Oryctolagus cuniculus: one gene and its partner. The protein of the gene in region 1 interacts with the protein of each later gene in a biochemical or structural test. Links are inferred from orthologs where the notes say so. Each region holds a gene or a part of one and is shown in the gene's direction. Other genes may lie near its edges.

Region 1 (11,703 bases):
CATTCAGTGCAGCCCCAGAAACACTCATCCTGCGCCCCCTGCCAGGAGCCCCTTCCCACCCCTGCACTGAGCTCCTTGGTGAAAACTGCCCATCCTCTCACCTGTCCTCTTCTTCCTGTTTCCTTTCTTTCTTTTCTTTTCTGTCTTCTTTTGGGTCTATAGAAGAATCCCCTCCCCCCTCCTCCATGCCATTTTGTTTCTCCTAGTTGTGCATGCACACTGAAGTTAACAAAGTCAAAACAGTCAGTGTTTGTCTTTCTCCCCAAATAATAACTTCCTTTTTAAAAATTTATTTATTTAAAAAATCAAAGTCACACAGAGAGAAGGAAAGGGAGGGAGGGAGAGAGAGAGAGAGAGAGAGAGAGAGAGAGAGAGAGAGAGAGAGAGAGAAAGTCTTCTATCTGCTGGTTCACTCCCCAATTGGCTGCAACAGCTGGAGCTGATCCTATCTGAAGCCAGGAGCTTCTTCCGGGTCTCCCACGTGGGTGCAGGGGCCCAAGGACTTGGGTCATCTTCTACTGCTTTCCCAGGTCATAGTAGAGAGCTGGATCAGAAGTGGAGCAGCTGGGACTCGAACCAGTGCCCATATGGGATGCCAGTGCTTCAGGCCAGGGCATTAACCCGCTGCATCACAGCACCGGCCCCTACTTGGGCCATCTTTCTCTGCCTTCCCAGGCACATTAGCAGGAGCTGAATCAGAAGTGGAGCTGCCAGGACCTGACAGGCACTCCATTATGGGATTCTGGCTCCATAAGTGGCAGCTTAAGATTGCCCCACAACACTGGCCCCCAGTTAGTGCTCTGTCACCTACTTCTGTGCTTATGTGTTTCTTTTCTGTCATTCCTATTTGAGTCTTAGACTTTCTTTCTGGGATTATTTTCCTTGTTCTTGAAGAACATCCGTTAGAATTCCCTTAGTGAGAGTCCATTCATTGTAATGGTCTCATTTTTTAAATCTTTTTTGTTTTAAAATTTATTTTATTTATTTGAAAGGCAGAGTTACAGAGAGAGAATGAGAGGGAGTGATAGAGAGAGATCTTTCATCCATTGGTTCACTCCCCAAATGGCCTCAGTGACTGGGCCAGGCCAGGCTAGAGTCAGGAGCCAGGAGCTTCATCCAGGTCTCCCATGTGGGTCAGGGGCCCAAACGCTTGGGCCATCCTCCATTGCTTTCCCAGGTGCATTAGCAGGGAGCTGGATCAGAAGTGGAGTGTCTGGGACTTGAACCAATGCCCATATGAGATGTTGGTGCTGCAGATGGCAGCTTAACCTGTTATGCCACAACACCAGCCCCTCACTTTTTTTTTTTATCTTGTGAAGGTGTCTGTCCTAGTCTTTTATATTTCTGTCACAAAAGACCACAGACAATATAACTTATAGAAACAATGTATTTATCAGATTTCTGAAGGCTTGAGATGTCCAGTGTCAAGCTGGCAGCACCTGGGGAGGCATCCTTTTCTGCTGTGTTAGAACCTAAGGGAGGACACCACGTGATGAGGGCCAGGGAGCACAGGAACCTGCAACTCAGATCTTTCTTCTTTCTCCTCCTCCTCTTATTCTTCTGATTTACTTGTTTGAAAGGCAGAACAACAGAGAGAGAGAGAGAGAGAGAGAGAGAGGGAGAGGGAGAGGGAGAGGGAGAGGGAGAGGGAGAGGGAGAGGGAGAGGGAGAGGGAGAGGGAGAGGGAGAGGGAGAGGGAGAGGGAGAGAGGGAGAGAGAATCTTCCACCTGGTTGTTCATTCCCAAAATGTCTGCAATGGTCAGGGCTGGGCAGGCTGAAGCCAGGGGCCTGGAACTCCATCCAGATCTCCCACATGTAGCAAGGGCCCAAGTACCTGGGCCATCTCCACTGCCTTTTCAGGTACGTTAGCAGGGAGTCGGAATGGAACCAGAGCAGCTGGGACTCAAATTGGTGCTCCAGTATGGGATGCTGGCCTTGCAAGTGGCAGCCTAACCTGCTGTGCCACAACACCGGCTCCTCTCTTCCGCTTCTCACAAAACCACTAATCCTGATGTTGGGGTTCACCCCCATGGCATCATCTAACCCTGATAACCTCCCATAGGCCATGCCTCCATCAACATAAAGGAGATTAAGTTTCCAACACATGAGCTTTGGGGAAGCCATTCTAACTATGGCTTCATCTTTTCAATCTCATTCTTGAAAACTATTCAAGGTAGACAGTCATAGTTCCTCAGCACTTCTTTATTTATTTGACACTTTTCCAGTGAATTTTTGCTAATAGTAAATCATGATTCAGGGTCTCAGAATGGATATCATCATGACTTGGGATCCTCTCCACCACCTGGGAGAAGGACAGAGGAGAGGTGGGAGCTCAGATCTTTCCAGGAAATGTGTCTTCTGTCTGGTGATTGGCCCAGGGACTCGGACACACAATGGCACCATTTGCACTGGCCATCGTCCCCTTTCATGGTCATTGCCTTCTTCAGAAGTGGAAGACCAGGTGGTTCTACCAGCAGTTCGTTGTCTGGTTTGGGTTTGAAGAAGTCTGTAGTTCTTGCTGTGGTCTTGAGATGTCTTCTGCCGTGGTGCCGACTCCTGGAGTGGGTATTGGCAGGGGTTCTCAGAGGCCTAGAAACTCCCCAGAAGTACCTTGCTGTTTGATGTGACCCTTGGCCTCTGAGCTGTCTTCTGGCTTCCGTTGTTGGTATTGGGACAGTCACTGCCAGCACCTTTAATAACTCATCTTCTCTCTACTGATCAGCAGTTTAGCTAAATACTTGGTAAAGGTTTTTTTCTCATTTTCTTGGGTTAGAGGAGCTTCCAGAATCTGAGGACTGCATATTTCACCAACATTGGAAATCTTCCATTTCCTCCTAGAACTCTAAGTGAACATATTCAAGTCCTTGTTCCATCTTCTATGTCTCTTAACCTTTTACACATTTCCCATCTCTTTATCTCTGTGTGCTGTATTCTGAGTGAGTTCTCCAAACCTGTTGTCCAGGTCACTAATTCTCCCTTCAGCTATGTTAATCTGCTGTGTAATCTGTCCACTGAAATTCCAGTTTCAAAACATTATGTTTTTTATAAGTACTACTTGATTTTTTTCAAATCCTTCTGGTCATTTCTTGGTAGTCTCTTGTTATTACCCACTTTATCTCTTTAAACACATGAATCATCCTTATTTTATATTACATACACTATCTTTATAAGTCTAAAGTTTTTAAACATCTGACTCTATGGTTTACTGCTTTGTGCCACTCTCCAAAATTCCTTGTGACTTGACTTTTAGGATTTAATGCTTGCACGTGAGCTCATGTTCCTGGTGACTTTTCTGTGGGAATCCTTACAGGCCTGAGTTTAAGGTGAATTACACCAGGGGTGATTTGCATCTTCCTGCCATGTGCCTAGGGAAATGTCAGGAAAACACCTTCACTTTTTATATTGCTTGTTTGTTGTTGTTGCTGTATGGCATATTGCTGCTTGGTTATTGATGCTGTAAATCCCACTTCCAGACCCATCATGGGCCAGCGAGCAGTTAGGAGCATTTGGAGCTGAAATGTTTTTTCCCTCACCTGCAAGTCATGGCTGAGCCAGGCCAGCTCTGTGTCCACTCCGTTTGTGTTGCTTTGTGGTGGTCTTTGCTGTGGTGGCGGTGGGGGTCTTCTGATTCTGTTTTTGATTTTTCTCGAGCTCTGGGTTTTGTCCAGGCCCGTTGAACTGGAGTTCTTGGCCATGGGGATCAGCAGGCTCCTCAGGGACGCCTTTGCTCCTGCTGTCTTTGGACTTGGACTTGTCACTTCCGACAGCTGATGATTCGTCCTTACTTCTCGCCACCTCAGCGGTGCGTTTTTAAGGATGACGTGAACTGGTTTTGTTGGACTCTCTTTCTCCGGTGTTTTGCATCAGAGACATCTCAGCTTATGCTGTCTATCAAATTGTCAGCAACCATATCTGGCCATCTTTCCCAGCCTCTCTTAATCACGTTTCGCTCAGGACCAGAAGACCGCGTATTGTGGTCGTCTCACGCTGGCTTGTGGTTTGGTCGCTGTGTTTGTGAATTGCATGCTCCTTGCCCACAGAATTCCACACACGGACGTTTGGGTAAATGCAAATGGAATTCCAGCAGGGAACCCAACACACCCGTGCACTGCCCTGTGCTGCTACACACCATCCACTAGGGGGCAGCCTCAGCTGATGGCAGAGACCATTCTGCCCCCTCCGCTCCACAGGGTCTCAGGGTGGGAGGAGCCTGGCTCCCTGTGGCCCCAAAACCTCTTGCATCAAACCACCCCTTGAGCAGGACTCGATGGAGGAGGACCCCCCAATAAGTGAGGAAACAAAGATGAGGATGTGGGGAGTGGACAGGGAGTGGCCGGCCAGGAGAGGTGACCTGAGAGGGGTCACAACCAACCCTCTTCTGGGCTAATTCAGGATTCTGTTTGGACATCTAAAGAATCTATTGGTTCATTTACTCAGCAAAACTTTATTCGGCACCTACTGTATGCCCACCGGGGAATTAAGCACTCTTAGTCCCTGTTTTCTTCCTATGGTGCCCAGCTGCTGCCGTCCACCTAGACAGCTCAGCATTCCCCAGCCTGCCCCGACCCTCTTCCTCCAGCCTTCTCCTTTTGCTGTTCCTTCCAGCCCTGAGCCTCCGCCATCACTGCCTGTTGAATCCCTCCTCATTCCTCCAGGGCTCATCGCCATGCTGGAATCCTGAACCCAGAGGTGAGGGGAGCTGGACCCCTCTGTACCATCTCAGGGGGCAGCCCCCACCTGGGCCAGGGCTCTTTCTCTGCAGAAGGAGGTGAGAGATGTCTCCTCCCAGGCTCACCCCAGTTTACGTTTCTCTGAGGGAGACTTGCGCTCTTGGCTCTCAAAGAAGTGCATCAAGGGGCAGGAACTGTGGTACAGAGGATCAAGCCACCACCTGCAATGCCAGCACCCTACGTGGGCGCCAGTTCAAGTCCCAGCTGCTCCACTTTGATCCAGCTCCCTGCTAATGAGCCTGGGAAAGCACTGGAAGATGGTCTAAGTACTTGGGCCCCTGCCACTCACATGACAGACCCAGATAGAGCTCCAGGCTCCCGGCTTCCACCTGGCCCAGCCCTGGCCATTGCAGACATTTGGAGAGTGAACCAGCAGATAGAAGATTTCTCTGCCTCTCTCTGTCTCTGTCGCTCTCTTCCTTTCAAATAAATGAAATCTGTAAATATGCCTTTCAAGTAAATGAAATCAGTCTTTAAAAAAAAGTGCATTGAGGGGCGGTGTCGCGGCATAGCAGGTTTAGCTGCCACTTGGGACACCTGCATCCCATATCAGAGGCCTGCCTCTGCTGCTGACCCAGCTTCCTCTGAGTGTGCCCAGGGAACAGTAGATGATGGCTTAGGCACTGAGTTTCTGCCGCCCACCCAGGAGACCTGGATTAAGTTCTGGGCTCCTGGCTTTAAGCCTGGCTGTGGTTGGCATCTGGGGACTGAAGCAATGATAGAAGATACCACTTTGCCTCGCCCTCTTTCTCTGTCATTCTGCCTTTCAAAAAAAAAAAAAAAGTGCTTCCTGTTTCCCAGCTACCTTTGAACTAAAGGACATGGTAAACTTGGGATGTGACCCTATGAGAGCAGAATCCATGGAATGGGACATACAATGGATCATTCATTCCCCTTCCAATGTGTGTTAATTGAACATCTACTATGTGCCATGGGACACAGTCCCTCCGTTTCCCTCTTCATTAGAGGATCCTGGGGAAGTGTGTGTCCACACGTGTGTGTCCATGTAGTCTGACTCCATGACTCTTGGGGTTCACTCAGGCCTGGGGCAGAGGCAGCTGCACCCACTCAGCTTGCAGCTGTACCAGCTTGGCTTCCTGGAGACCGAAACCACAAGCAGAAGAGAGAGGCGTGAGAGGCACTCACAGGCTGGGTTTGGTTGTCTGCGTGTCAGAGAGCAGCAGAGAGAAAGGCACACGTAGGACCAGCAAAGGGCAGGGCAGGCAAGAGGGGTGCACCTGCTGGCCCCAGGATGGCGCTTCCCACTGGTGGACACGCATAGTGACAAGATGGCCCCGGACATACGGCTCCTCGTCGTGATGGCTGGATTGCTGAGGGCAGCTTTCCCAGGTAACCAACGCCTTTGTTACCTCTGCTGCTTGTGCTAAGAACCTGGGTCTTGTCCTTGGAGCCCGCCTCCTGGTTGTTTCCCGGAGCCGTTTAGCCAAGACTGTATTCTCGTAGCAGGGGGGCCCTGGCCATGCCAACAGCAGCCAGGGCTGGGAGAGGCACCAGGGCTGTGCCTGGACAGTGTTCCAGTCCCGAGAGGTGCCGGGAGTGAGACGGTGTGAGCACAGTGCTGTGTGTCGCACCAAGGGCTCCCTGGTGCTGCTGCTCTCCAGGGGGAACAGGAACTCCCCCCACGTCTTTCTCGCCACCTTGCAGGAAGCAGCCATTCCCCTTCCCAAAGGCAGGGCCTCTGCTGGTCGGATTTTCAACACCAAAGCTGAGCTCAGGGCTCACCAGCCTTGTGCCAGAAACAGCTCTGGAAGGCCCAGGAGACTGAGTGACTGGCGGCCTCAGCTCCGCCAGCTGGGGTGGTCCAGGGCACATTTAAGTGGCAGGCTCTTGAGGGCCACCCTGCTCTCCCACACCGGGGGGTGGCCAGAGCACACTTGCGACCTGCGCAGGGTGAACAGGTGGCTACAGACCTGTGCTCACCACACATGCAGGCCCCTGTCAAAGAGTATGTAGAAGTCTAACTGGTCAGGGGTGGGCAGAGGTCCAGAGAGCCTGCCCCGGGGGCCAGGAGACTGGTATGGAGACAATACTGTGGACACAGGGAGCCTGGGTCCACCCTGCAGTGGGGAGCCAAGTGCTTTCAGTTTGTAGTGAGGGCAGCCTGGGAGGCCCCATCAGGACGGGACATGGGAAGCAGGTGCACACGCTCCTGCCCAGGGCTCCTCTCTGCCCCTCTCTGCAGGCACGTGCTCTGAGCCTCTGGGCTGCTCTGCTCATAGCTCTGGGAGTGTGAACTGGTGTGCCCCGGGCTCTGTGGGGTCGACCCTCGGCTTCACCTCCTTCCTTGCGCTACCAGAAGTTACCAACCCAGGAGCCCATGGGGACAGACAGACGGGCTCCCTCCCCATCTCCCTTCTCGCCACTCCCTCTGCTCTTCCCTGGGAGGCTCAGGGTTCAGCTGGAGTGGGCAGGCCCTCCAGCGGGAATGAGGGCTGAGCCGGGTGCCGGGCTCCAGGCTCTGCTGGCCTGTGCTGGACCCTGGGGAACCAGCTTTGAATGGCGCCCAAAGGGGAAGCAGGAACCCGGGAGCCCGGGCAGAGCCCCGGCCTGGCCTGCTTCGTTCCTAGCACAACACTCACTTCTTGTTTTTGAAACTGCATTTATAGTTGACTCACTTTTTGTTCCTAATATCAACTGAGTTTTGAAAGGAAACTGTACGTCACGATTGTAACTGGAAAGGTGGTATCATTTGTCCTAAGCAAAAGGGAAGGGATGCATAAAAATAAATGGTGGCAAAAAAAAAAAAAAAAAGCCAGTCTATGTTCTGTCCGGCCCCTCGCTGGGCGCTGCACCGGCATTCAAGGCCCTCGCGGGGGTCGGCAGCTGTGTAAATGCGCCCCAGAAGGAAGGACTTTCCAGGCAGAAGGGGAATTGCACCCCAGGGAGGCTGGGCCCCTGTGCCCAGCCTGAGTCTTTCTTCCCCTACACCTTGACCGCGCAGGCCCAGACCCCAGCAAGCCCCCAGAGGGGAAAGAAAGAAAAAAAGATGGAGGAGAGAGAGGGAGGAGAAGGAGCCTGGAGAATGAGGGCTGGGGTAGGGTTCCAAGGCCTCCGCCTGTGTCTGAAGCCTAGGTCGGGCTGCCTGGCCCTGCCCTGAGGAGCACGGTGTGGGGGAGCCTGGCCCACCTGGGGACTGGCAGACCTGGCCATGGCCCTCCGATGCCGGAGCAGACCTCCCCAAGGAGGTTCCCGGCTCTCTGCCCTGGGCCTCACACGGCTACATCCTTGGCCAGGTGGGCCGGATCCTGGGCTGGCTTCTCCCCAGTGCCTGGTTTGTGTTGGTGAATGACCAGCACTTAGAGGATTGGGTCCAAGTTTCCCTTGGGCTCCCTGTAGGCCTGGGTCCAGGAGCCTCCGCTTCTGTGCCTCTGGGGACGAAGATGTAGGGAGAATGAACTAGAAGTCTTTGATGAGGGAGGGTCCTGCTCTGACTCCCATGTGGCTGTGCTCCTCTCCTTCTTCTGTCCTCAGTTTTCCTGTCAGTGGAATGGGGGTGCTTTGGGGAGATACAGGGGTGCCTCCGGGTCTGACCCTCCAACGCTGTAACAAGGGCTTTTGCACCGGGGCAGTGCCAAGGTCCTGACTCGAATCCCACTGGTGCTGCCATTTGGCGTGGAAACAGGGGCTTGTGGTTGCTTTGAAAGTATTTCAATTCTTTAACAAATTTAAAAACCTGTTTCTTCCTTAACTTGGAAGTTTAGCATACAAATCCCATTTTATTTATCAGCTCAGTAATTTTTAACAATGACTTTCAAGGGGCCTTTGATTAATATTTCAGCAAACCAGTTGGACAGTGTAAGCTTCCTTAAATAATAAATGTTCTCAACAAGGGAAGCCAATTAAGTTCCCTTAGATCTGTGCTGTTCAATGCTGTAGCCCCTGGAAACGTTCATTTAAAACGTCGCGGCTCAAATGGAGATATGTAAAGTGTAAAATGTACAATAGATTGTGAAGGTGAGTTCCAAAAAGAACATAATGTGTCTCATTAATAAACATTAAGTGAATTGCATGTTGAAATGATAATACCTGGGATATTTTATATTAAACAAATTTTATTATGTCCCCTTTTACTTTTTAACAATGTCACTATTGGAAAATTTTAAATTATGTATGAAAAGGCTTCAAAAAGTTCATTGAAAAAATGTGTATTTTGGAAACACCATGCAAGGATTTCTTTTCTTTTCTTTTCTTTTTTTTTTTGGCACCAAATTTGGTTTTCCATAAAACGTTTTGAAATCCCCTCACATGTAGGTTGTGTTGTATTTATATGGGGTAGCACAACCTTTGGCATCCTAAACTCCAATTACAAGTATAATGGATTCCATTCTTGGGGAAACAACCTTCCCAAGGATTTCAGAGAATGCCTTCAGATCTAAAAACTCTGCTATTTAAAAATATGAACTGAAATCAATTACCACATCACATCACATACATGAGAAACTCCACTGGCCAAATATTCCGAAACATCCCAGGTAGGAGCTTGCAAATGTAAGGGGATACTTCAGTGTGCGGAAAATAGAATTAAAAGATAAGCTTATTTGGGTGTGAAAACAAGTTTGAAATTCACACGTAGTTTTGTCAGCACACACATTTTCCGCAGACTTCGGAAGCACCCTTGTAGAAGCATCAGGGGTTTTTGTTTCTTTAGTCATCTTTATTTTCTAAATTCTAATCTCCCTGTGCTGAAAAGTCACTGGCCCACGACCCCTGGATCCAAACTGTATAAACGTAGCCTTCGGTGCCTGCCCTCACCAAGGGGGCATCGCCACTGGCTTGCACTCCATCAAACACACGCGTCACCTTTCCTATTCTGATTTCTTTCCACGTTCTCCACGCCTGGCCAGCTCCATCTTGTAGATGTCTAAGTGACATAGGACTGGTGTCTACACTTTCTGCCTTAGTCTGTTCAAAAAGGTGGGTGACTAACACGCGGAGCCAGCAAGCTCATAGCAGAGGTGGTGGTGGTGGTGAGGATCGGGGCAGCTCCTAAGGTTCATTTAACCAACCACGGATGACTACGGAAGGATCTAGAATGAGTGAGAAACACCTCCACGGCCTCCCTCACTTGGTCTCCGTTCACTGGTGGCACCATCCCCATTTCCTTCCAGGAAAGCTGGGAACTCAGTTGGGCCCAGCTGTTGGGAGTCTGAGGTGAAGGAGCTGGGCTTCTCCTTGGGACAGGGAGGAACCAGCAGGTGACTCTGTCTGAGGCCCTGGGACAGTGGCTGGGAGAAACTCTGACTGCCTGCTAGGAAAAGGCACCTGTCCAGCCGTTCAGCCTCCCAGCCTGGGCCATAAACCTGAAACCGGCCACTTCACTGCCCAGGCCAGGTGCTTGGGCTGCACTGAGCAGACCTCATGGAGCTGGCGTCCCGAGCGCCACCCTTTCCCGCTTCCCAACACCTGTCCCTCTGCCTAGGGTCTCTGGTACATTCTTTAGTGCTGGGTTTCCTGGGCCCCACATTCCAGTCCACCTTCCTGGGGTTTGCTAAAATCAGCCTGGCCATTGCCATTTGGTTTTCTCTTAATCAATGCCTTAAGGTGAAAATGAATTTCTTTTAGAAGAAAGCTTACAGCACTCCCTTAAAGGGAAAGCCACTGAAAATCGCTGTAATAATAACGGTGGAAATAAGACTCACGGAAACAAATGACATCATGAAATCCCAGCTGGTCCCATTACTGCTTTCCCCTGCTGAAAATGGAGGGCTGTGGGTATCAGAGAGGCAGGAGCCCTGGGTCCTGCCGGGAGCTTTCTCCTCCAAGTCATTGGAAAGGCTGATGGGGAAGCAGAGGGGCACAACCTCCTTAGCAGGTGACTTGGTGGCACACAGGGCCATGTCCGTGACCCCGAGTCATCGTGCAGACGTCCGGCTGCGTGCCCTGCTCTTTGGAAATGTGGACGCCCTCCTTACGGGCCCGAGCCAAGAGAGGCTGCATGCTCAGTTTCCTGCTCAGAAAGCCCCGGATCAGGTGGTCCTCTAGCCCCTTGGGCAGCCCCTGGATTTCCCTGGGGAACCTTGAAGTTGGGGAGTGACACCCAAACTCAAGTCGCCGACTCAGCTCTGGGAAACTCAGCACCTGCAGCATGGCTGGCGGAGGCTGGGGGAGAAGGAGCCTTTGACAGGGAGAGGTGGGGGTGCATGTTTGCAGCTCTGGCCCTGCCTTGCTGGGTCATCTCAGTCAAGTGGCCTCCTTTCTCTGGCCCTGGTTTCCTCCCTGGAAAAAGGGGCCCATTGAACACTGAGGACACAGCCTATCCGTTCTGGTACTTTCTGTTCGCTCCTCCAGTAGGGCTGCAGCTGCCAGGAGCAGAGGTCCAGCCACCAGAAATTTAGCACCCTGTCACACCGGATCCTGTGCCATATGGGATACCGTGTTGCATGGACTAGCATCACAGCTCCAGCCAGCACCCTGCCATGTGGATTCAGAGACCCTGCAGTCAGGCAGACTCGGGCACCCCACTCCAGCTCAGCACAGGTTGTCCCTGTGCCTGCGTGCTAGAACTGAAAACATCTAGCTCACCAACACGTGGTACTTTACTTTATTTGTATAACATATCTGAAAATAAGCAAACAAAATACAGTGCTCAGAAACTTGAGAGTATAATGTCATGTGGCATGCCAAAGATAATCCCTTGTATTTAATATAGGATCTGATGGTTAACGTAGCAATGTTCGCACGATGAGCTCAGTTACCCACATGACAACCCCATTTCATAGATGAGGAAGTGGAGGTTTAGCGAGGCTCAAAGACTTGTCCTAAATCTCTACTAGACTTGGGCGGGCAGCCCAGGGGTCTTTCCTCCTTGAAAGAGTGACCCCACCTGGCTGCAGGCTGGCTTCCATCCTGGTCTGAGGTTTCTCCCTCAACGCCACCTCTCAGGGTTGCAGCCCCATCACTGCGTCCCAGGACAGCCTGGAGGTTCCTCTGAGGTCCTGGTGTCCCCCGGAA
Region 2 (11,046 bases), on another chromosome or scaffold:
CAAAGCATTTATGATTGCTTTGAAACCCAGTTTGCCTCTGTTCTCTATACTTCTCCCTTAAGTGTTTGTTTGAACCTGTGTTTGTAACCCTGCATCTTTCAACAAATATTTATTGAGTTCCCAATCTGTACTGGGTTTTTACTGGGAGCCTATTTCATAGGCTGTATGTTATATAATCTTAAGTTGAGTGTATATAACCTCTACCACATTAAATTGTAACCCTATTATTCATCTCTGTATCTCCCATCAGTGCTTGGGACAGAGTAGCTATACAGTAACTGTGTGTTTGATTGAATTGGATTTTCTACATACAGATCATACTAAGGTAGTAAGGTTTTTATTATTTGCCATCTGAAAGATCATATATCTTCCAATGTGTTTATACTATTTTTTAAAAAATGGTATCTAGTGACAGTATACTTAGCAAGAAATCTTACAAAATTTCAACTATGTGAGAAATGAAATAGCATTTTTTAAAAAAAAAACTACTTTAGTCAATTTTCTTTGAGGGAACACCTAAACTATCTATGCTTTTCCAGTTTATAATGATGGATAACTGTACTTGATTTTCTCACCTTTGTACCATCTCTTTTATAATATTTATTTAGTCATCATTTTTATTTTCTTTCAAAAGTGATTTAAGAATTTTTTCCTTAAGGTAATAGACCTTAGGGGATCATTTATATGCACTCAAAACATCAGTGGTATTAACTGCAACTTGATGCATGATCAATTACATTGCTAATTCACTTGTCCAAGTTGGTCTCAAAGCTGGCTCAAAACACTAAGATGATTATGCTTCAGTTCATTTATTTCAGTCACATAAATCAGGTCTGAACTTTCAAGTGCAGTTATAAGGTGTTTTTTTTTTCATCTTTTCATCTCCAGTGTATTTTGACTATCTTACTTTCTTGGAGTTTGCGTTTCAAGCAGATTTTCTGCTTCACAGATTTGGATTTGTCTTTAAACCCAAGTGGGGAAGTGACCAAGCAGATTGGTGATTCCCTGCCTGTGTCATGCACAATATCTGCAAGTAGGAATGCAACCGTGGTGTGGATGAAAGTAAGTGATATTTTTGGTACTGTCCTACTGTTTGAGCTGATTTCTTTGTTATATTATATTCATATATATATTCACTGATAACAGGTTTATATACCCACACTTAGGCTGTCTCTTTTTCTTTGTAATAATACAAACCAAATTACACAAAAACTTTAGAGGTACTCAGAAACAGTGTGGCATCCATGACCGATGCTCCAAAACTTAATTTGGAGCATTATTTTAACTATATATGTGTGCTAAGTGATTTTACACATGCACGTACACACACACACACACACACACACATACAGCTATGTACTTTGGAGATTAACAATTTACAATGTGTTTTTTACTCACATTATTCTCAAATGAGCTGTTTGAAGGCTACTTATATGCATGGATTTCAAATATTTTTTGCAAAATAAATATATTTTAATTCCACTTTACATGAAATTTCATTTTTGTTAATTGATGGGGAAAGGGGTAAATATTCTAGTAGACAAAAACCATCTAATCTTAGGATTTCTTAGTTTTCTATTTAGAGGTTCAATTCCTAGTAAAATAGAATTTTTTCTGTATTTCAGATGATATTTGAAGTTAAATGTTATGTTTTCTTTGTTCATATACCTTAGTATAATAATTTGTTAAGAGTTTCTTTAAAAAAATCAGTCTTCCATGGAGTTGAAGCACAGTGAGTTAAGCCACTGCATGGGATGCTCGCTTCTCATATTTTATTTGGATCCTAGCTACTCCACACTTCCTATCCAGCTTCCTGCTCATGTACTTGAGAGGTCACAGATAATGGCTCAAGTACTTGGGTTTCTGTCATGCACATGGGAGAGTTCCTTGCCTAGCTTCAAACTGACCTAGCCCTGGCTGGTTTTGGCATCTGGGGAATAAGCTAGCAAATGGAAGCTCGCTCTCTCTCTGTGTCTGTATTTCTCCCTCTCTCTGACACTGTACATTTTAAACAAATAAATCTTAAAACAAACATCCATTCTTTTCATAATTGTCATGGCTCTGTAATGGATCCCCTATATTGATAACAGTTCTGATGCAGTAACTTGAAAATAAATATACCCATTGCTGAAATCTCCATCAACTGCAATTAGCAGGTATCCTCAATTGAGAACTTCCCTTAATAGAAACCATTGCATTATTCATATAATTAAGTTTGCATAGTAACTCAATATGGTAAGTTATTACCCCATTTCATTAACAAAGAAAACTAAGTCACCAAATTGTATGTACTTGTTCCAGATTGCAAATTTAGTAATAGAAGAGACTGAAATAAAATTCCAATATGTCTCACTCCAAAACTACAAAGGAAAAAGGAAATCTATATTTGGAAACCTCTGAAGTTAAGAAAATTTTTCAGTAGACCCAAAATAATAATTTTAGTCTTATCATGCCTTGTGAAATACTTGACTTTTTACTTAATCAGGACAACATCAAGCTTCGATCTAGCCCATCGTTTTCCAGTCTTCAGTATCAGGATGCTGGAAACTATGTCTGTGAAACTGCTCTACAAGAAGTTGAAGGCCTGAAGAAAAGAGAGTCCCTGACTCTCATTGTAGAAGGTAAATGAGATACTTCTCACCAATGCAGATTTTTCTTTGAGGAAAAAAAAAAAAAAAGATGGTCTCTTTTATGATAATGGTTCAACATTAAACTTTAATTGTAATAATATTCTAGGAAAACCTCAAATCAAAATGACAAAGAAAACTGATCCCAGTGGACTATCTAAAACAATAATCTGCCACGTAGAGGGTTTTCCAAAGCCAGCTATACAGTGGACCATTACTGGCAGTGGAAGCGTCATAAACCAAGTAAGTATTTGTCTTCTGTTCTATGCTGTACTTGGTCCATGGAGAGTTTTTTTAGGTACCTAAACTACATAAAGGTTTGTTGCCACTTGAAATTTGCAGTGTATTCTCAGGGGAAGCTCTTGCTAACTTTTTAATTTTCCCAAAGGAAGAACATGACTCAAAGAGAAATTTTAAATTCCAGGGTCATGGAAAATGAAAGAAATATTATCTGTTTTTAAAGGAATGTAAATCTGATGTTGTTCCATGGTTGTTAACTTCTGAAATATTCAGGCATAAAGGTATATACTTTTCTACATCATAAATTGACACATAGGAATATAAGTAGACTTCATTAGTTTGCTTGCTGAAGCACATAAAGGAATATTTCTTCTTGAAACTGGGCCTTGAGTGTGGGAAAAGTACAGTAATTGCTTGTGCACATTTGTTTTGATTTGCCTATGATTGAACTCAGTTCAGAATAAAGAAAGTGTCCTGTTCTGAACAAGAGGGTTGAACCAAACTTTAATATCTTTACCCCTCATGGGCATTTTCATAATAGCAAAGGGCTAAGAACATATGAATGTATCAGTAATTTTCTACTAATATTAAGTCTTTGACACAAAAAGAAAAGAAAAAAAAAAGGTGAGGATGTGCCCTGTCACCAGGTGTTCAGAACTATAATCCTACAACATTTCCAATTTGCTTGTGTTACAAACCTACCTGTAAATTCCATTTTCTCCACACAATCTTCACATCACCTCTTCTCAGGAGGAATAATTAAAGACTTTACCAGCACCTAGAGGTGCCATTTGATTATTTGAATCTTCCATTCTGCCTTCCTCCCAGCTTTGGACCCAGTTGAAATTTGAGAAGATGTCTATAAACAAACACCTGCAAAATAATTTTAAGTCAAAATCTCCACTCATCCTCTACCAGGGAAGTCAGACCACAGTTCACCTTAGGCAACGTAGCTTTGCACAGCAATGTGGATTTTGGCTCATTCCCCTATGGATGATGCATTTCTGTTGGCATGATTTTGGGTATGGGACACCCCTGTAGCAAATGACTCCTGATTTGTTTAAGTATGATGGGACACACAGCTGAGAGGCCATGCCAGAGAAGAGCACAGAGGCTCTGGACCCTTTCAACTTAAGGAAATGCAGTTTCTTGATTCAGAATAAAGATCTAAACCTCTGGAATTGCTGACAACCTATGAAGCTATTTTATATCATCAAATGCTAAAAACATAGAAATGTTTCTTTTCTACTCTCTCCTTTTTGCTCTTTAGTTCAGTTAAGTAATAAGTGCAGTAAAACGAAACCTTCAGGTACTAATAATACAAGAATAAGAACTAGAAAAATAAGCACATAGTGAATGTCTGATGAATGAAAGGATACAAAGATTTAAAAGGCTATCCTGGAAATGAAAAAATGTACTTTATTAGAGCAAGGTAAAAAAAAACAGGGTCTTAATGAGAAAACCCTATGAAAAATCCTAGTAGGTAGGATAAAAGTAGCAGATGAATTTCCTATGAGCCAGAAATAATAATTCCATTTTTCTTTGTCAAGGAGAAGGATTGATTCTGACCCGTTAGGTGATATGTTGTTTTTCTTTTCTAAGTTTGTGCTGATCAATCCACAATCTTTTATTTGTTCATTCCTCAAACACATGCCAAATCTATTATTTTACAACTAGGATGTATCTTTACCCTTCCTCCACCCCCAGGAACTGGAAGAAATCCCGCCTTTGTCCTTAAGGTACTTAGAGTATAATTAAGGAAAAAGCAAGCAGAGAGCTATCTAGGACATGATGTGTAAAAATGACTGAGAAAATAATATATAGTATATATTAGCTTCAGTCATGTTGAATTTTGGAGTCAAATTCTAGGAGATGAGATTAAAGTCTATGGTTTCTTATATTTGAAGGATTTAAATACAATGATTGCCCTTGTTAATATCTCACAAAATTCAGACTTAGAAGTAACTAAAAAAAGAGTCCATCATCTGTATTTAGCCCAAAAAAATCTAGAAAACAAAGATTTTATTTACCAATGAACAATCATACATACATATATATGCACTTAGATGTAGTGGTTTAAGGTAAAGGAATTAACTCCTGCAAGCAGAAGCAGTTTCCAAATTCATAATTAAATTCATACGTTTATTGAGGGAAAGAGGTGATTAGATCTTAACTGCTTAATTATTTTGAGATGAATATCATCATGCCAAAATGGTGACTACACCTGCATATCTATTGAAAGTTTAATTTAACATTAGAAGTCACAATTGAAAAAAAAAAAAAGAAACCCCATTGTGGATTACTAGTCTTTTTCTTACCTGCTGTAGATATAGGCATACAATCCTTTCTTTTTTTTTTAATATTTTCTTTATTTATTTGAGAGGTAGAGTTATAGACAGTGAGAGGTAGAGACAGAGAGAAAGGTCTTCCTTCCGTTAGTTCACTCCCCAGATGGCCGCAATAGCCAGAGCTGCACCGATCTGAAGCCAGGATCCAGGTGCTTCCTCTGGTCTCCCATGCAGGTGCAGGGGCCCAAGCACTTGGGCCATCTTCCACTGCTTTCCCAGGCCATAGCAGAGAGCTGGATTGGAAGAGGGACAGCCGGGACTAGAACTGGCGCCCTACCTTACACATACTCACGAACAGTAGCATGTACTAAAGAACCACAACTGTCCTATTTCATCCCTTATTATTCTTTCCCATGTTTTTCTATTTTCATTTCTAAACCCATCTTCCTTTTTTTTTTCCAGACAGAGGAATCCCCTTATATCAATGGCAGGTATTATAGTAAAATTATCATTTCCCCTGAAGAGAATGTTACTTTAACTTGCGCAGCAGAAAACCAACTGGAGAGAACAGTAAACTCCTTGAATGTCTCTGCTAGTGAGTATTTCATTTCTGGCATTAAAAAGTAAGAAAAGTTGAAGTTATTCTTCATTAGTTTAAAATCTTCAGTTCCATCTTCCTGTACTGCATTATGGTAAGTTTTATTTATTTATTTTACATTTGGTATCATCATCATGAGGTTATTTTTTCTTTTTTCCTGGTTTCCATACTTGTATTATCCTTGTCTTGACAGTTAAATCATTTCATGTTTTATGAATCAGAGACTTTATCTAATCAAAGAATATTTCCCAAGAGCAGCAGAAAATAAGAAGGAAAGAAGTTGCTCTTTTTTAATACATGTTTTGTGTTCAGTGCAGAGTTAAGTCAGTCAATCATAAAATATTCTTGTAATAGTTCTAAATTTAGTAAATTTTAATTCCCTTTAATCTGTTATTTTGCACTCCACTTTTTGGTGGTGTTCTCCTACTCTTATTTTGAATAGGAATGTCAAAAACTTCATCATTCCACATAGTAATAGTAGAACTGATAGAATTCATGAAATTTGGCCTCAAAAATTGTTCCTTTTGTTATATCATATTTGAATCATGGCCAAAAATCAGAAAAAAATGATACTAACTTAGATAAGTTAAAAAAAATAATTGCTGAAATCAGTGTTACAAATATTTTCCAACAGCAGCTTCTGCTGAAAACAATTGCTATTTAATATGAAATTATTTTTCATCTTCATTTCTGCTGTTGTTCCTAGTGCTATGTCCACTTTAAATCAGGACTGTCCTAGAATGAGGTTCAATCTGGACAGGCTGTTGACTGACCCATCAAAATTTCATTCTTCAGTCAATCAGAATCCTGAATGTCACATCAGCAAGCTATGGATGCACTGTTAATTGCCTAAAGATGATGATCCTTAATAGATTATAAGTGCACTATAAAGGCCTGATGGATTGACAGGAGAAAAGAACCAAATTTAATTCTAAAATAGGAGCATTGACTTTTCACAATGCAATTCCACAAGTGTTGATTTGCCATTCCTAGAAGAGAACCTATCCGTTCTTCCTGAACAAAAGTCTCTCTTTTTATTCTAAGCCATTGAATGATGTGCTTTAGTTTTCTAGGTCTTGTAGAGCTTGATCAACATTTAATACATTTTCAAATTCAATGAGCACCTCCTGAGATTACAATTTAGTATATATGAGGAGGAATCTGAGAATATGATTTATATCAAACATCACAGCAGATTTGATGTAGGGCCATGCAATCTGAAAATATTCATATAGTTTAATATTAGATGATAATCAGCAATAGCAGTGATTCTTAAAATGAGCCAAGAGCTTGGCACTATCAGAGACATTTGGAAGGCTCTTGAAATCACTGCATATTTGCTTGGTAATCTCTAAGGCATCCTCAGTTTTAACTTCAATCTCAGTTGCTGTATGAACATCTCTATGATAGGTTCTTGGCAATAAAAAATGAAAATGATTTCTCCTATATTGACGCAAGTAAAAGTGAGGAACACCAAATCATAGACTTCTTTGGTGCCAACTTGTTTCTCTTATTAAAGAAGTACTATTAAAAGGTGATAGATAGTGGAAAAATTAATATGGCTTTCATATTAACACTATAGCTTGTCAGTTGTAAAATTTTCTATAATAGATTAATACGTTCACAATTTTAACTACTTTTTTTCCTTAAAAATTAATTTCTTTGCAGGGAATTTCATGTTCTGTTAATTGTGATTTTTTTTTACCCTTAGCTCTAGAATAGATATTTTATCTTTGACTACTATAACATCATACTATAATGGTAAAGGTGACTTTCATATATCAACAAATTTTGTTTTTAATTTCATATTAACATTTTTCATTTCAGTAAGTATTCCAGAACACGATGAGGCAGACGAGATAAGTGGTAGGTACTATGCTGCCGACTTCTTCCTTAATTATCAGCTCAAGATTTATGAAGTGTCATTGGACAAGTAATTTTCCCAGCTGTCCTTAATTTCAACTTGAATTAAAATACAAAATGAGACAAGATAGTAAGAATGCTAAAATTTTGCCCTTTAAAATCACAAGTTTGCATGTTAATCACAGTAGTGAGCCTTAGTCACTTTTAATAAGTAATAACTAGATTGATTTATTTTTTCAAATTCTTGGCATTTTCTGTAATTGCATGGAATTTTCTTTTTTGTTATAGATGAAAACAGAGAAAAGGTGAATGATCAAGCAAAACTAATTGTGGGAATTGTTGTTGGTCTCCTCCTTGCTGCTCTTGTTGCTGGTGTCGTCTACTGGCTATACATGAAGAAATCAAAGTAAGTTGTGAAAAATAATCTTCATTGTTTACTGAATTTTATTGAGAGATAATACTGTGTATCAATTATCTTCACTCCAGCTGTGCTTATAATTTCTATAGTAAGAAAGGTATATTCCCCAAATCAGAGTGATCATATTTTATTTCACCTCACAGGAACTTCATTGTCAACATCAGAGACATGGTCTGGGGTTTGAGTTCACATGTGTCTCTTTAATTTTCCAAGCCATTAGTCTGAGTCCAACTACCAGAGATTTTCTATGCATAATTATGTAGATATTTTAAAAGCATGTACTGGCTAAAAATCACATATCCTAAATTTTTTGGTTAAGATTGGCAAAGATTAATTGAAAGTGGTTAATACCTATTGTAGAGACTTTCTAGGTGTCATTACATGGACAACAGCCATGGAATAAAACTGGCCAGGAATAAAACTACTAATAACATTGGAGGATCTTGTCATTGCTACCTCATTCTATTTACTTGAGTTTGCTCCAAATGAGAATCTATTTCAGAGAGACATACATGATTATTTTGGCTTAAAATTAAAAAAAAAAAAAACTGGCCGGCGCCGCGGCTCACTAGGCTAATCCTCCGCCTAGCGGCGCCGGCACACCGGGTTCTAGTCCCAGTCGGGGCTCCGGATTCTGTCCCGGTTGCCCCTCTTCCAGGCCAGCCCTCTGCTGTGGCCAGGGAGTGCAGTGGAGGATGGCCCAGGTGCTTGGGCCCTGCACCCCATGGGAGACCAGGAAAAGCACCTGGCTCCTGGCTCCTGCCATCGGATCAGCGCGCTGCGCCGGCCGCAGCGCGCCGGCCGCGGCGGCCATTGGAGGGTGAACCAACGGCAAAGGAAGACCTTTCTCTCTGTCTCTCTCTCTCACTGTCCACTCTGCCTGTCGAAATAAAAAAAAAAAAAAAAAAAAAAACTGATTAGACAAAGTACAAAGATTACTTTTAAAATGCCTGTGATGGTGTGTGATTGAAAACTAATAGGAGCAAGTGTTTGGTTTAGGACTTAATCTACGGTTGGGATGCCTATCCTATATTGGAGTAGGTTGGTTTCAAATCCCAGTTCTGCTCCTAATTTCAGCTTCCTGCTATTGTGTACAGTGGGAGCAGGTGGCTGATGGCTCTAGTAATTGGGTCCCTGTCACCCACGTGGTCACCCTAGATTGAGTTCCCAATCCCTAGCTTTTGTCAGGCTCAGCTTCTGCTTCTGCAAGCATTTTGGGAGTGAACTAGGGGATGAGAATCTGTGAACTCTCCCTCTCTCTTTCTCCCTCCCTCTCAGAATTTTAAAGAGTAATCAGTTAAAAGTATTAGTCATGTAATACTATATAGTATGAACCTTATCATCATCTAAGAATGATTTATAATGAAATTTTGATGAACCAGTGAAGATTTTTAATATACACACATGCCTAATACTTCTCCTTGCCTCCTCAATCCTAGCTTCAGATGTCATTGCACAGGAAAGGGTTTCTAGCATTTGCAATTTTTTAAAAGTCACATTAGTGATTCTGTGGCAATATTTAGATTCCAAACATGGATTTTAACCTCCCTTATCTTATAAATGAGAAAATTGATATTTGCAGTGAGATGTTTATAACTAGTGGCGACTTTGTACTTAATTACATATTTTTCTTTTGTTGATATATCCCCTTTAAGAGCCTCAGGAAAGTTAACTTAAAATAAAATTAGAAGAAAAAGAAGGCTCCAAAGAGGATCCATAATCTCACCCTAAAAAGATGTTGATTCCAATAAAGCAGTAGCTCAGCAATTTTAGAGTCACGTAACAAGAAAGGAATGTATTGAGCTCATTTGTTCTCATAGCAGATCCGTGAAGCAGATACAATCAATATATATGTTTTCACACTTGAAAAATCTGAGGCAGAGAATGGTTACATGACTTGCCTTTTTAAAAAAAAATATTTATTTTATTTATTTGAAAGACAGAGTTACTAAGAGAGATAGAGACAGACACACAGAGAGTTGTCTTCTGTCTGCTTGTTCACTCCCCAAATGGCTGCAATGGCCAGAACTGAGCTGATCTGAAGCCAGGAGCCAGGAGCTTGTGGATGCAGGGTCCCAAGGACTTGGGCCATCCTCTGCTGCTTTCCCAGGAACATTAGCAGAGAGTGGGACCGGAAGTGGAGCAGCCTGGAATCAAACTGGAGCCCGTATGGGATGCTGGTGCTGCAGGCTGGGCTTTTCCCCACTGCACCAAGCAGTGGCCCCAAGGTTACACCGTTTGCAATGAACTGATTATTATTTGATTGAATGTAGTAATGTTGAGAATCTTTGCACTTAATCACTGGGCCTCTCTTTTCATGTATAATTTTTTTTTATTGTGTGCTGTGACCAATGTTCATGATGTCCATCCTCACACTAGGGAACAGCCACTCCTGATCTTGCATGTCACTCCCCAGTCTTGAAAAGACTCCACCAATACTTAGTGTACTATTCAGGCTTCCCCAGAGTCAGACCAACGTGCACACACACGTGTGTGTGTCTGTCTGTATTTGTGTGCAAAGAAAGATGTATTATAAGGAATAGACTTATGTGATTATGGAAGTTGAGAAGTCCCAACATCTATCTTCAGAAAGCCAAAGACCCAGGAGAGCTGATATGCAGTTCCTTTCTTTATGCAAAACCTTGAGAGCCAGGAGAGTCAATGTTAATTCCAATCTGAAACCCAGCAGGATGGAGTCTCATCAGAGGCCAATGTTTTAGTCCAAGTCTTTAAGGCAGTGAAAAAACAGCTCAAGTAATTAGGCAGGAGTTCCCTCTTACTAAGCCTTTTTCTTCCATTTAGACCTTCAATAGATTGAGTGAGGACCAGCCATTTATGGATAGACAATCTGCTTTACTTACTCTTTCTATTCAAATATTAATCTCATCCAGAAGCAGCGTCATAGCCACAGCCAGAATAGTGTTTGACTGGATCTCTGGATACCATGAGGCTCAGTCAAGTTGACACATAGTTAACTGTCACACTTGGCAAAAAACATGTTCTATTTCTCAC

Evidence for each region.
Region 2: the proteins of CD6 (region 1) and ALCAM form a complex in vitro, tested with the Homo sapiens proteins (4 studies listed by BioGRID and IntAct). The link is inferred for Oryctolagus cuniculus from reciprocal best matches to the Homo sapiens genes CD6 and ALCAM.

The regions. Positions count from the first base shown.
Region 1 is NC_091432.1:11,620,982-11,632,684, reverse strand, and holds the start of CD6 (T-cell differentiation antigen CD6), read left to right. Parts: upstream 1-5,868; 5' UTR 5,869-6,020; coding exon 6,021-6,081; intron 6,082-11,703.
Region 2 is NC_091435.1:60,577,652-60,588,697, forward strand, and holds part of ALCAM (CD166 antigen), read left to right. Parts: intron 1-949; coding exon 950-1,062; intron 1,063-2,485; coding exon 2,486-2,621; intron 2,622-2,736; coding exon 2,737-2,870; intron 2,871-5,617; coding exon 5,618-5,750; intron 5,751-7,580; coding exon 7,581-7,619; intron 7,620-7,904; coding exon 7,905-8,022; intron 8,023-11,046. UniProt on the Homo sapiens protein: Cell adhesion molecule that mediates both heterotypic cell-cell contacts via its interaction with CD6, as well as homotypic cell-cell contacts. Promotes T-cell activation and proliferation via its interactions with CD6.